Rattus norvegicus: one gene and its partners. The main gene of each other region encodes a partner of the protein of the gene in region 2 in a complex. Links are inferred from orthologs where the notes say so. Each region holds a gene or a part of one and is shown on either strand. Other genes may lie near its edges.

Evidence for each region.
Region 1: the proteins of Mapt (region 2) and Ywhaz are in contact, whole or in part, in a crystal structure (PDB 8QDV), measured with the Homo sapiens proteins. The link is inferred for Rattus norvegicus from reciprocal best matches to the Homo sapiens genes MAPT and YWHAZ. Residues at the interface, in NP_058519.3 of Homo sapiens: Ser637, Cys639, Gly640, Ser641, Leu642, Asn644, Ile645, His646, His647; in NP_001129171.1 of Homo sapiens: Glu14, Leu43, Ser45, Val46, Lys49, Arg56, Arg60, Lys120, Arg127, Tyr128, Glu131, Gly169, Leu172, Asn173, Val176, Glu180, Ile217, Leu220, Asn224.
Region 3: the proteins of Mapt (region 2) and Pin1 are in contact, whole or in part, in an NMR structure (PDB 1I8H), measured with the Homo sapiens proteins. The link is inferred for Rattus norvegicus from reciprocal best matches to the Homo sapiens genes MAPT and PIN1. Residues at the interface, in NP_058519.3 of Homo sapiens: Val546, Arg547, Thr548, Pro549, Pro550, Lys551, Ser552, Pro553; in NP_006212.1 of Homo sapiens: Arg17, Val22, Ser32, Gln33, Trp34.

The regions. Positions count from the first base shown.
Region 1 is NC_086025.1:69,845,826-69,850,265, forward strand, and holds the start of Ywhaz (14-3-3 protein zeta/delta), read right to left. Parts: upstream 2,878-4,440; 5' UTR 2,828-2,877; intron 237-2,827; 5' UTR 226-236; coding exon 1-225.
Region 2 is NC_086028.1:89,725,618-89,729,261, reverse strand, and holds part of Mapt (microtubule-associated protein tau), read right to left. Parts: intron 2,217-3,644; coding exon 2,135-2,216; intron 990-2,134; coding exon 877-989; intron 1-876. UniProt on the Homo sapiens protein: Promotes microtubule assembly and stability, and might be involved in the establishment and maintenance of neuronal polarity.
Region 3 is NC_086026.1:27,468,591-27,472,234, reverse strand, and holds part of Pin1 (peptidyl-prolyl cis-trans isomerase NIMA-interacting 1), read right to left. Parts: intron 3,245-3,644; coding exon 3,026-3,244; intron 1-3,025. UniProt on the Homo sapiens protein: Peptidyl-prolyl cis/trans isomerase (PPIase) that binds to and isomerizes specific phosphorylated Ser/Thr-Pro (pSer/Thr-Pro) motifs.

The DNA of each region.
Region 1 (4,440 bases), on a different chromosome or scaffold from region 2:
CTTTTTCTCAGCACCTTCCGTCTTCTGCTCAATACTCGAGACGACCCTCCAAGATGACCTACGGGCTCCTACAACGTTTTTATAAGCAACAGAGAGAAGGTTCCTCTCCTCGTTAGACAGCTCGGCTCCTTGCTCAGTGACAGACTTCATGCAGGCTGCCATGTCATCGTATCGCTCTGCCTGCTCGGCCAGCTTGGCCTTCTGCACCAGCTCATTTTTATCCATAACTGGATATTCTGCAAGGTGAACAAGAGAAACACTCAGAAAACTCCTGTGAAAAACACACACTCGTTATACCTGTCGTAAATAAGGCACACCAGCATCTCAAACCTAGCTTGAGGAATTAAAACACCCCCACGCCCCCAAACCAACCAGAAAACTAGCATAGTCTGAATATTAACAGTGGGTTAGTCAAACTGCATGTTCCAGATGTTCAGAAGATCCCAATTTCAAGTAAGATCAAAGCATATATGGACATATAAGCTACTTAAAAACCCACCTCTATTTTCTTTGGCCAAAGTATCACTTGATCCTAATACCACTAAATGACCCACTTGAGCAGCGTTCCCTCGAGTGTGTGAATGGGGGTGAAGGGGGTTGTGGGTAGGGACCCTCGAAATGTGTGCATGGAGGTGAAGGGGTTGTGGGAAGGGACCCTCGAGTGTGTGCATGGGGATGAAGGGGTTAGGGATAGGGACCCTCAGGTGTGTACATGGGATGAAGGGGTTGTGGGTAGGGACCCTCAGGTGTGTACATGGGCATGAGGGGATTGTGGGTAGGGACCCTCAGGTGTGTGCATGGGCATCAAGGATTAGGGTAGGGACTGGGATCTACAATGCTTATGAAGTGCATACCTACAGAATCGTGAGTCATGTCAGTGTAATGTAACTCATATACTCTAACCTTTATATGTATATATTCTTACCAAGAGTGACTGAGTTTTATTTAGCACCTCCCCAACCCTGATCTACTACACTTGTAACATTTGCCAGCTGATCATGGAATAAAAATTATCTCAAGATAATTGGCTAATTGCTGCTTAAGACATCTTGAACACACTACCACTAGGACTCACTAAAGCCAAGACCAAATCTGTCTCTATATGGCATTGTATGACCTCTTGCTTCAGCACACACCCATACTTCCTACTATGAGTGTGCACTGAGTCTACAACACACGGAAGGACCCGAGTGCTTCCAATGTCTACCGCATTATTTCTAGCTCGAGTCACAGAAGTACTCAAGCTCTTCTTTTTCATAGTTTCTCAGTTTTCTTTTGCTCAATTTCAACGATCTCTAGATTCCAATTTACTTATTTCTTCAACCATGTCAAGAGCAAGATTCTAAATCATATAGTGATCCCACAAAATATAAAGAAAAAGTCACAACCTGAAGGCACATCGAAAGGCATAAGAGTCACAGCCGCCCACCATGGAAATTATCAAATCCTTTCCTTTCCCTTTCCAGAAAGGACGACCTCTTTTTGGTTGGCCAAACGAGCAGTGTCCAGAACAGAAACACGGAGCTAGCTTAAATTCGAGACACAGTACCTTCAGTGCATCAACTATTTAAAATTTGTGAACCCATACTTCCCCCCCGGGGTCTCGAAATCTAACATCAGAAACCGTCTCTGGTAAATGTTGCTTCCAAAAAATGATGTAAGCCCAGTCAGTACAAACGTTCCTCTGCCAACCTCCCGTATAAGGGGAAGTGGATTAGGTTTCTCACAGGAAAACTAGTGCTCCCGGACCTCGCCTTCAGACTGCGGGAATACTCGCCGCACCCACTTAACCCTTAGCTGCCCGAGGCCGGCGGGTGGGGCGAACCGAAACCGCGCAGCGGTGACTTTAAAGCGCTAGTCCTGGCGTCCGCGCCATCCGCAGCCACCTCCCCTCCTTGGCTCCGCCCAGGCTGGTGCCTCCGCGCTAGTCCCCGACTCTCTTTGTCATGGCGGAACTGTGTCAAGGAGCCCAACCTACTCCGACTGTGAATCCCCCCCCCAACCCGGGCAGAGGGTGGAGCAGTCCGCGCACCCGCCCCAGTCGGATGGTGGGGGGGGGGAGGGAGAGCGACTCACCCTCCCGGGGGCCCGATGCCATCCGCGCCCGCAGAAGCGGAACCGCGGCCGACCCGCGCCGGACACACCCCGCTCCCGCCCAGGGTCCCCTCCGCCTGTGTCCGACCGGAGTCCCGAAGCCCGGACAGCTGCGGTAGGGGGAGGGGCAGGGCCCCACCCAGACAGGCGCAGCCCCCACTAGGGGGCCGGGGCTCCGGGAAGGATGCGCACCTCCCACCGGCCCGGGACGCTGGGGACCCCGAGCCCCTGTGACCCCATGCCTAGCTCTGGCCGCGCCCCTCCCCCACCGCGCGCCCCGAGAGTCCTTTCCGGCATTGCGGGACCCAGCAAGCCCAACTCAGGGTCCCCGACGAGCCCCACCCCAGCGCCCCGCATGCTACCTGGCTGCCCCCCGCGTGGGGGAGGGGTGGCGGGGGTACCGCGGGTGGGGGCGGCCTCACCTGCGCCACGACCGAGTCACAGTCGCGGGCGGAAGCAGGGTGCCGGCGGGGGCGGATCGCGGTCGCCCTGGGGAGTAGGAGCCCCTGGGTATCGCGCGTGGGCGCCTGATCCGCCACCCCCACCCGGGGACCAGAACGGGGCGATGAGCAGCCGGGCAGGCCAGAAGCAAGCGGCCGGGGGCGGCGGTGGGCGCCTGCCCGGGCCCGGCGGAGCCGAGCCGCCGCCCGGGTCCTCCAGGGGAGACCCCTCTCGGCCCGCAGCGCAGCGGAGGGCTGAAGGGAGCGGAGGCCGACTCAGGGCGGCTTCTCACCTGTGTCCGGAGTGGGTGGCGGCACACGGACCCGGCTCGGCAGTCTCTGGGCGGCGGCAGCGGTGGCGGCGAGGCTGAGACTCTGTCCCTGATCTGGCTGCTCACAGGCTACAGCCGCTCCGCAGACACGGGGTTTCCTCCAATCACTAGCCCCGGCAGCAGGGGCACCACACGCACGATGACGTCAAACGCTGCTATGGCAACCGTTGATTGGTGCCCACAGTTCTCCGGCCCAGCGCAACCGCCGCTCCCCTGCGCGCGCCCGGCCGGCCCGCCCGCGCCCGAGGGCGAGCGGAGGAGAGCGCGTACCCGCGCTCCGCTCCGCTCCAGACCCTGCCTTCACCCGCGTGCTCAGTTCTCTCCCCACCGCCCCCGCGAGCTGCCCTCCCTCCCCGCCCCTGCGGCCCGCGGAAGGAAGCCTCTCCCCGCCCCCACCTCTACTGGCGGGCACATCCGGGACCTTCGCATCTCCCCACCCCACCCCCTCCCGCCTGGCCGCCCTCTCTCTGCGCTGGTAATGGCGGCGGGCAGGCTGCAGGGCAGGGTGACAGCGGCTCTACTGCCAGGGCATTGTGATCAGAACCCCGGAGCAGGGCAGCGGCCCCGCCGTCGCGGGGCGGGGCGGGCGCGGTTGCTCCCTCCCGCGGTCCGCTTTACCTGCCTGCTGCAGGAAGCGGCCTTAGACCTTTTAAGGCTTGGAAAAGCGCGAGGCTGAATGACGCCCTGCCCTTCCAGTCGCGAGTTCGGCGTCCGCACCGTGACAGCCTCGGGGACAATGGGTGGTCGCTGGGAGGAGCGGGGAAAGGGTTGGGTTTGCGAGTTGGACGTGATCGTAGAAGCCTGACTTGGGGCGAAGCGGGGAAACAGGCTAGAACACACCGAACTGCTCTTCATGGTCTACGCTTTTACCCTCCGTAGGGCTTTCATTGGGAGACGCATCGTTCCTAACTAACGCATTGTAAGAGTGTGACCCTTTTAGGTTCTGGAAGCAAGGTTTGGGAGCGTGGTCGTTCCTAGGGCCCTAGTGGAGGAGGAGCAGCAGGGCTTCTACGCCCGGAAGAAGGGGGGGGGGAGGAAAAGGGCGGAAATTGCAGGTGCCTGAACCCACAAGGTCTCCACCCAGGAGACGGAAGTTGAAAGGAGATGCAGTTTCTGTATGAAGTATCTGCTTTTGCTCCTTTTAACTGTGCTCCTCTGAGCTAAAACATTTTTTGGGGGCTACACTAAGCACAACTGAAAAAAGAACCTCAGGAATTCGGCCCAGAGCTCTCTGGAAGACTTCATAACAAGCTATTCTTTCCCTACCACTGTCTTATCCGTATGTTGGATACATTGTCTGAACCACAAGCTTGTTCTACAAATTATAACTTGCCTGAAATGACAGCTAGCTAAAGATTTGCCTGTGACCAGTCGCTCCCCTCGCCAATCACCCCCCCACAACCCGTTTCCACAGCAATAGATTCATAACATGCTAAGCAGATGAGCAAATTAATGCAGGTTTTACTTCCAAGATACTGAAGTCAACTTACTTTGGCTTCAATGTAAATTCTTTCAGGGAGTGACTCACTTAAAATGACTTGTTTCAAAAGCTTTCATGTTTCCAGTTCTGTTGT
Region 2 (3,644 bases):
TGGCTGTGCTCACCTGTATGCTCATGTGCATGTAACACACACATGTGCACACACACACACGCACACACATGCGCGCGCGCACACACACACACACACACACACACACACACACACACAGAACATAGGTGGGGAACAATGCCATAGCCAGGAGTCCAAGAGGAAGTAGAAAGCATGAGATGGCAGTCTGAGGCATGACCCAGGGTTCTGTGCATGTTGGACAACCTCTCTGCCAGCTGGGCCACAGGCTCAGTTAGCATTACGACTTTGCTCGAGCTCTCTGGTAACTAGTGGGAAAGAGCTGCCTTCAGTCTCCTGCCTTGTTCTTGGTACACAACGTGAGGATGAGAATCTATTCCAGATAGTCCGTAGAGAACCCTCTAGGACAACCCTCCTAATGCTGCGTCCCTTTAATACAGTGCCTCATGCCATGGTGATTCCCCAGCCACAAAATTATGTTGGGCTGGAAAGATGACTCAGTGATTAAGAGCCCTGATTGTTCTTGCCAAGGCCCTGAGTTCAATTCCCAGCAACCTCATGGTGGCTCACGACCATCTGTAATGGGATCTGATGCCCTCTTCTGGTGTGTGTGAAGACAGTGCAGTATACTCACATATATAAAATAAAAATAAATAAATAAATAAATAAATAAATAAATAAAAATAAAATCTTAAAAAATAAATAAAATCATGTCATTGCTACTTCATAACTGTAATCTTGCTACTGTTATGTAAATTTACTGTGATGTAAATATCTGACATGCAGGATATGACATTCTATCTCCAAGGGACAGATTGAGAACCACTGCTCTGGGACCAGTCTCATCCACTGTGTTAACCCTCACATCCCCATATGACCTCCCATTTGCCCCCCCCTTACCTTCTTATTCCCTCCTCCAGGGACATGGGTGATGTTATCCAAGGAGCCAATCTTCGACTGGACTCTATCCTTGAAGTCCAGCTTCTCTGATTTTACTTCTACCTGGCCACCTCCTGGAATACAACGCACATGAGTCTCTCGTCATCTTCTGTGGTCTGGGGGACTTAGCACATGCTAAACGAGCTTGCAGCCTCCAGAGCTTGGGGGCTTGGGGGCTGCTGGAGACTCGATTAGATAGATAGATAGATAGATAGATAGATAGATAGATAGATAGATAGATAGATAGATAGATAGATAGATAGATCGGTCATGTGTCACCATTCAGGAGACACGTCCATTCTGACTCCAACACAGGCTGGGCCAGTGATCCAAGGAACAGCCCATTCTCTGAGAGTTGCCTGGGCTCTACCTCATCTAGAAAAGAGACTTAGCCACAGGAAGCTCTTGTTAGTGCTTGCAAACTACCTGCCTCTTCTCTAAGGAGAGGGTGCACAGAGGATATTTACCCTGCAAAATCTTCCTCCTGAGATGGTTCAGGGGTAGATGAAGCTTGGCCAGGAGAAGGCGCGCTAAATTTTAAAACCAGACGCCTTCCAGCTGTGGAGATTTTCTTAGGAATTTTGTACAGGATTGTAAGCCACAGCCCCTCAAGTCCTTGAGATTGAACTGTCTGTTAAATGTACAATAAGGAGAGAGAGCCTAACCTCCCCTTTGGCTCAGGTCACCACACCAGAGGGTAGCAGGAGGAAGGGACCTTTGCTGTTTTCCTGGGAAGGGTACTTTCTTCGAACAACCTTACAGTGAGGATAAGACAACAGCCCAGAAGCTCTCATGTTATAGCTGGTGCAGTCAAAGTGTCCCCCGTGCTGGGATATTGACAGAGCCAGCCTTTGGAGGACGCCAACCAGACCCAGGGCTGGCCCTTTTTTTTTTTTTTTTTCTTTTTTTCGGGAGCTGGGAACCGAACCCAGGGCCTTAGGCTTGCTAGGCAAGCGCTCTACCACTGAGCTAAATCCCCAACCCCCAGGGCTGGCCCTTTTATACAGGCATTTCAGGAGAGCAACAGGATGGATCTAAAACCAGTTCCTCCTCTCCTTCTACCCCTTGTCTAGGCTGAGAAGCAGGGGCAAACCCAGGCCCCAGGCCACACAGCAGTTTCCCATTTAACATTCACTGCCCAGGTTGGCCTACTCTAGGAAGCACCCACCAGCCCAGCCAGCACCCTTCTGCCCCAAAGCCTCCCTCCCTCAAGTGCTACCTGGCTTGTGATGGATGTTCCCTAAGGAACCACACTTGGAGGTCACCTTGCTCAGGTCCACTGGCTTGTAGACTATTTGCACCTGCAGGTCAAGGAGGATGGGGAAGAGACAGAGAACAAAGGAAGTTGTGTTACCAGGGGTAACAGTGCAAAGCCGAATGGACCACTTGTCAGTGGCTCCCATCAGCTCCTGAATACATCCCACTCGGGATGGAAACTATGCTCCCCAAATCCAGCCAACCTCCATCCCCCAGGGAGCTGGGTCCTCACCAAGTAGCTGTGAGACCTAAACATCTTCAATCCCAGATACACAAGACACTGTCACGGAAAAGCAGAGGTGCCTGGTCCTTGTATGTGACCACGGTATCTATGTAGCGGATACTTAAATATAAAAACATAAATCCTTTTATTGATGAAATTGATGACACCCAGTGGAGGAGGAAGTGATGGGCCTAGGCAGCCCTGCACCTTCTCCTCAGAAGAGACTCAGAGGAGAAGCCGGTGAGGATGTGTGTGCTTCATCCATGAAGCTCCCATGGTCTAGGTCAGCAGACAGGACCTAGAACGACTCTATGACTCAGGGTAAGAGCCAGTTCGTGTCTGGACATACAGACTCCTGAGCACTTCAGCCTCTACTGAGGAGAGCAAAGCGACACCAACGGAAGGCAGGCACATAGCAGGAACCACAGCTTCAGTGAGTGTCTCAGCAAGCATAAGTGAGCAGACAGGACACACAGGGAGCCCTGCCAGCTCAAGGGTCCTTCATGTGACCCAGCAACAATGCCTGCCCTGGGAAATGGTGGCTGCTTCCCTGACAGGACACCCTGAAGGAGACCACCCAGGCAGATGGGGCTCCTAAAAGCCAGTCTCTCAGATCTGTGGTTTTACAGCTTAGACAGCTAGTCATGAGCGGCCACTTGCTGAGTCCTGTGGGTCTCCCATACAGACCATGGTCATTCCAGGGGTGAGGAGTCTCATCTCCTGTCCCGAGAGAGGGGTGGCCTCATGTTCAAGAATCAATAAAGCAAGGTGGTTGCTACAGAGGTCTCAAAGGATAACTCCTTCTTGTTTTCATAGCTAGCTGTGCTGATGGTGTTCTGTGGGGTGTGTGTGTGTGTGTGTGTGTGTGTGTGTGTGTGTGTGTGCGTGCGCACACGCTTTCTGCTCATGAACCTGACAGAAGAGGAGGGCCGTGGCCTCACAAATCAGTGAGCTAGGGTGTCAGCCTTCCCCTGCAGAGGGTGGGCAAGGAGCAGATAATCCCAAGGACCTTCAGCAAACAGATCCAGAGGCCAGCAGGAGCTCTGGGGCAGGTAATGAAGGAGGAGCCAAGGGCCTCCAAAAAGGTACAGGAATGCTACAGGGACCTACCCCTTTCCCCTCTGGCCCTACCCCTTCCCCTCTGGCCCAGGTAAAGTCATTAGAGAGTCGTACCAGGGGTTGTGTTGGGGAATAGGAGATGGGGAATAGGTAGCCTGGAATGGTCAAAGGAGAAAGGAATGTACTGTGT
Region 3 (3,644 bases), on a different chromosome or scaffold from region 2:
AGGGCTGATGTAGAACAAACCCTTGACAACGATGCAAATGCTTATTCCTCTGCTATGGGCTGCATGCCAGTGTCCTGACATCATTATGAAGAAGCCATGGTTCCTGGTATGACTATCCTGGGAGACAAGGAGTCTGTAAGGGTGGGCCCTGAATAATCCGATGAGTACCTATTCATAAGAAGAGGTACAGCCAGGCTTTAGCTCAACTGGTAGATTGTTCTTCCTACACCAGGCCCCAGGTTCCATCTCTAAATCAGGGACAGCAGTGCAAACCTGTAATCCCAGCACTTAGGAGCCAGAGATGAGCAGGTTAGAATTCAAGGTCACTGTTGGCTACATGGGGAATTACCAGGCTGCCTAGGCTCTAAATTTAAAGGGAGATGAAGAGAGCCAAGGTGCACACCTTTAATCCCAGCACTGAGAGGCAGCAGCAGAGGACCTCTAGTATAGTCTACACAGAGAGCTCCAGGACAGCCAGGGCCACACAGAGAAACCCTGTCTTAAAAAACCAAGCCAAGCCGAATGACAGCCAAGGCCACCAAAGGACATGACAGAAGGAGCTACCTGCAAGTCAGAAAAGCAATCTCTCTAGGAATGTACAGGGGAGAGTGGGAAAGGTGGTGGCTGGTTTTTGAGAGTGACTCTAGGGGAAACATGAGGCATAGATTTTTGAGGAACTGTGAGAAGGAAACTAAGCTACAGAGCTTAAGGCATTGCGTTGCTGCAGACTAAGGTACATAAGGAACCAAAAGGGTGGTTCCTCAACCTGAAAATGTTTAGATCACAGGCTGCCAACAGGGGAAGGGTGTGGTTGGGGAGGGCCAGAGACACAGCCACAGGCCCCCAGGCTGGGTGGACGTCACTCGGCCAGAGGAGGTGGCTCATCTTGGAAGCCTGCCTGGAAAGGGTGCTGCTCACACTCTGGTTCTGGTCTCCCTGGACTCTCAGGACCTGGATGAGCAGGGACAAGGCAACAGGAACAGGGAGCCAGGGTATGTCCACAGCTTGGCTGTCCCAGACAAGGACATGGCAACGACACAGCTGGGCCTCAGGCTTCTGGCTGCTGTCCAGCAGCTGTAGAGGAGCCAGTGCAGGAATGCGGAGGGTCTGTTTCCTCGAGGCACCCCAGGCCCAGGCTAGCAGTGGGGTAGACACTGCTCCTGACACTGTCACCTGATCCCCCTGCGATAAGCTCTAGGTTCCAGGTGAGCCAGTGTTCTCAATGAAACCACACAAACTGGAGAGCTGGGCCAGTGCTTAGGAGCCTGGCTGGCTCTTCCTGAGGACCCAGGTTTGGGTTACAGCATACACACGGCGGCTCACAAGTGCCTGTAACTCTAGTTCCTGGGCATCTGATGTATGGCCTGTATGGGCAGCAGGCATTCATGTAGTGTATATAAAAATAAACACACACATCACACAAAAGGCTGGCAAGATGGCCTAACAGGTGACTGCACTTGCTGCCAAGCCTACTGATCTGAGTTCAATCCCTGGGACTCATACAGTGGGCGAAAGTCCACCCCTAAGAATTGTCCTTTGACTTCCACACTTCCATACACACACGGCTGAAAAGATAGATTAGATGCCTGTAGCACAGGCTAAGTTTACAAAAAACCTGGGTTTAGTTTACAGCACCCACGTAGTAGCTGAAAAAACCTAACACAATTTTAACTCGATGCCTTCTAAACTCCTCTGACACCAGGCACACACATGCTACATATACATACACACATGCAGGCAAACACCTATACACATATTCATCAAAACAGACTCCTCACTCTACAGGGCCGGCTCTGTGCTTACCAGTTCCTGGTCTATTGCCCAGGCCTCTCCCTGATGACATCATCACTCAGGATGACTCCCATTGTCCAAGGCTGCCTTCTATCACTGCACTGCTGCAATGGCCTCTGGGATGTCTCCGTGCTCATTTCACACAAGAGAAAACTGAGTCTTGAGTGAAGCTCCAAATCTCCTAGATCACAGAGCTCATCAAACACTGCTACTATCAAGTAAGGGTGCTGACTTTCTAGACCTGGCCACTCCAAATGGCAAGCAGAAAAGAAAGAGCGAGGGCCTGCATGGGCCAAGCTCATCCCAATATAGGCACTTCTTTTCAAGATAAGGTCGTCACGTGGCTTGAACTCAGTATGTGGGACCTAGGACTTAAAAAGAATGCATTTATATGTGCATACATGCTACTGAGTCAGAATACAGCCCGAGGGAGTAGGTTCTCTTCTTCCACTATGTAGGTCCCAGGAACTGAATTCAGGCCCTCAAGTTTAGTGGCAAGTGTCTTCCCAGCCCCAGCCTGAACCTCTGATTCTCTGTCTCTATCTCCATGCAGAGATTACAGGTTTGCATGATCATGCCAGGTTCACAGGGTCCTAGGGACTAAAGCCAAGGTTTCCCGAGAGTTGGGGAAGCACGTTAACAACTGAGTCACAACCCTAATACAGTATAGCACTTTTCCAGGAGTGACTGCTGACCAGACGGGGTGAGGGTCTGGTGGGACTTCTACACGGTCCGTGATGAGGAATGCTTATTGTCCACGTGACGAATCCAGAGTGGCTGGGGTTCTCTTTTAAATCCAGAGAAGGCAAGCTGAGCACTAACTAGCAAATACATCATTCTTTGTTCCTGACAAGGTTGTGATAGGATCTGCTCCTTCACTATGACTTCCCTGTGTGGTGAACTGTGACCTGGAACTGTGTGTGACATGAGCCCAAACAAACCTTTCTCTATTAAACTGCTTAGCAGTTAAACTGTACTGATTTGTTGGGGCAGGAAAGCATACATTCCATGGTGGGATGAGAGAACTCCCAGGAGTGGGCTCTCCACCACATGCATCCTGGAATGGAACCTAGGCCCGCAGCTTTAGCAGCAAGTGCCTTTGCCTGCTGAACCCTCTTGTTGGCCCTTGTCAAGAGTACTTTGTCACAGGAACAGGAAAAGAAAGTGAGATAGGCCCTCTGGCCCAGCTGAAAGAGGCCTTCCAACAAGCCCCTGCTCCCCTGCCCCTGCTCACCATTGATCAGCTCCAAGGCCTCCTCTTTGCTCCTGGTGATCTTTTCCTGCCGCCAGGATGAGGGCCTCCGAGATTGGCTGTGCTTCACCAGCAGGTGTGAGCAGCGCACCCTGGCAGGCTCACCCTGGCCATTCTTGCTGCCGCCTCCAACGGTGCTGCCTCCGCTGGGCCGCTCCCACTGGCTGGCGTTGGTGATGTGATTGAAGTAGTAGACACGGCCTGGGGGAGAGCAGCACCTACTTCAGCTGGGGCTGGTCTGAGGAGGACTCCATCCCAAAAGCTAGGATGAGGACTGGCTTGGGAGGTATCTTCTTTAACAGATCCATTTCCTGGTCTACCCCATGCTATAGGCTTGGGAGGATGCTGTCCCCATAGGACCTGTCAGGACTATGCTAATGCTTTAGGTGGTACCAGACAGACACTAAACCAGTAAATCAGATAAAACAGCTTCCAGGCCTTCTAGATGGCTCGGCAAATAAAGGAACTTGCCAAGTCTGACAACCTGAGTTTGATCTCCAGGAACTTGCCAAGTGGAAGGAGAGAACCCATCAGTCTCAAGATGTCCTCTGACCTCCACATGGCATAATGCCACCTTACAGAATAATAGGACCAGATTTTC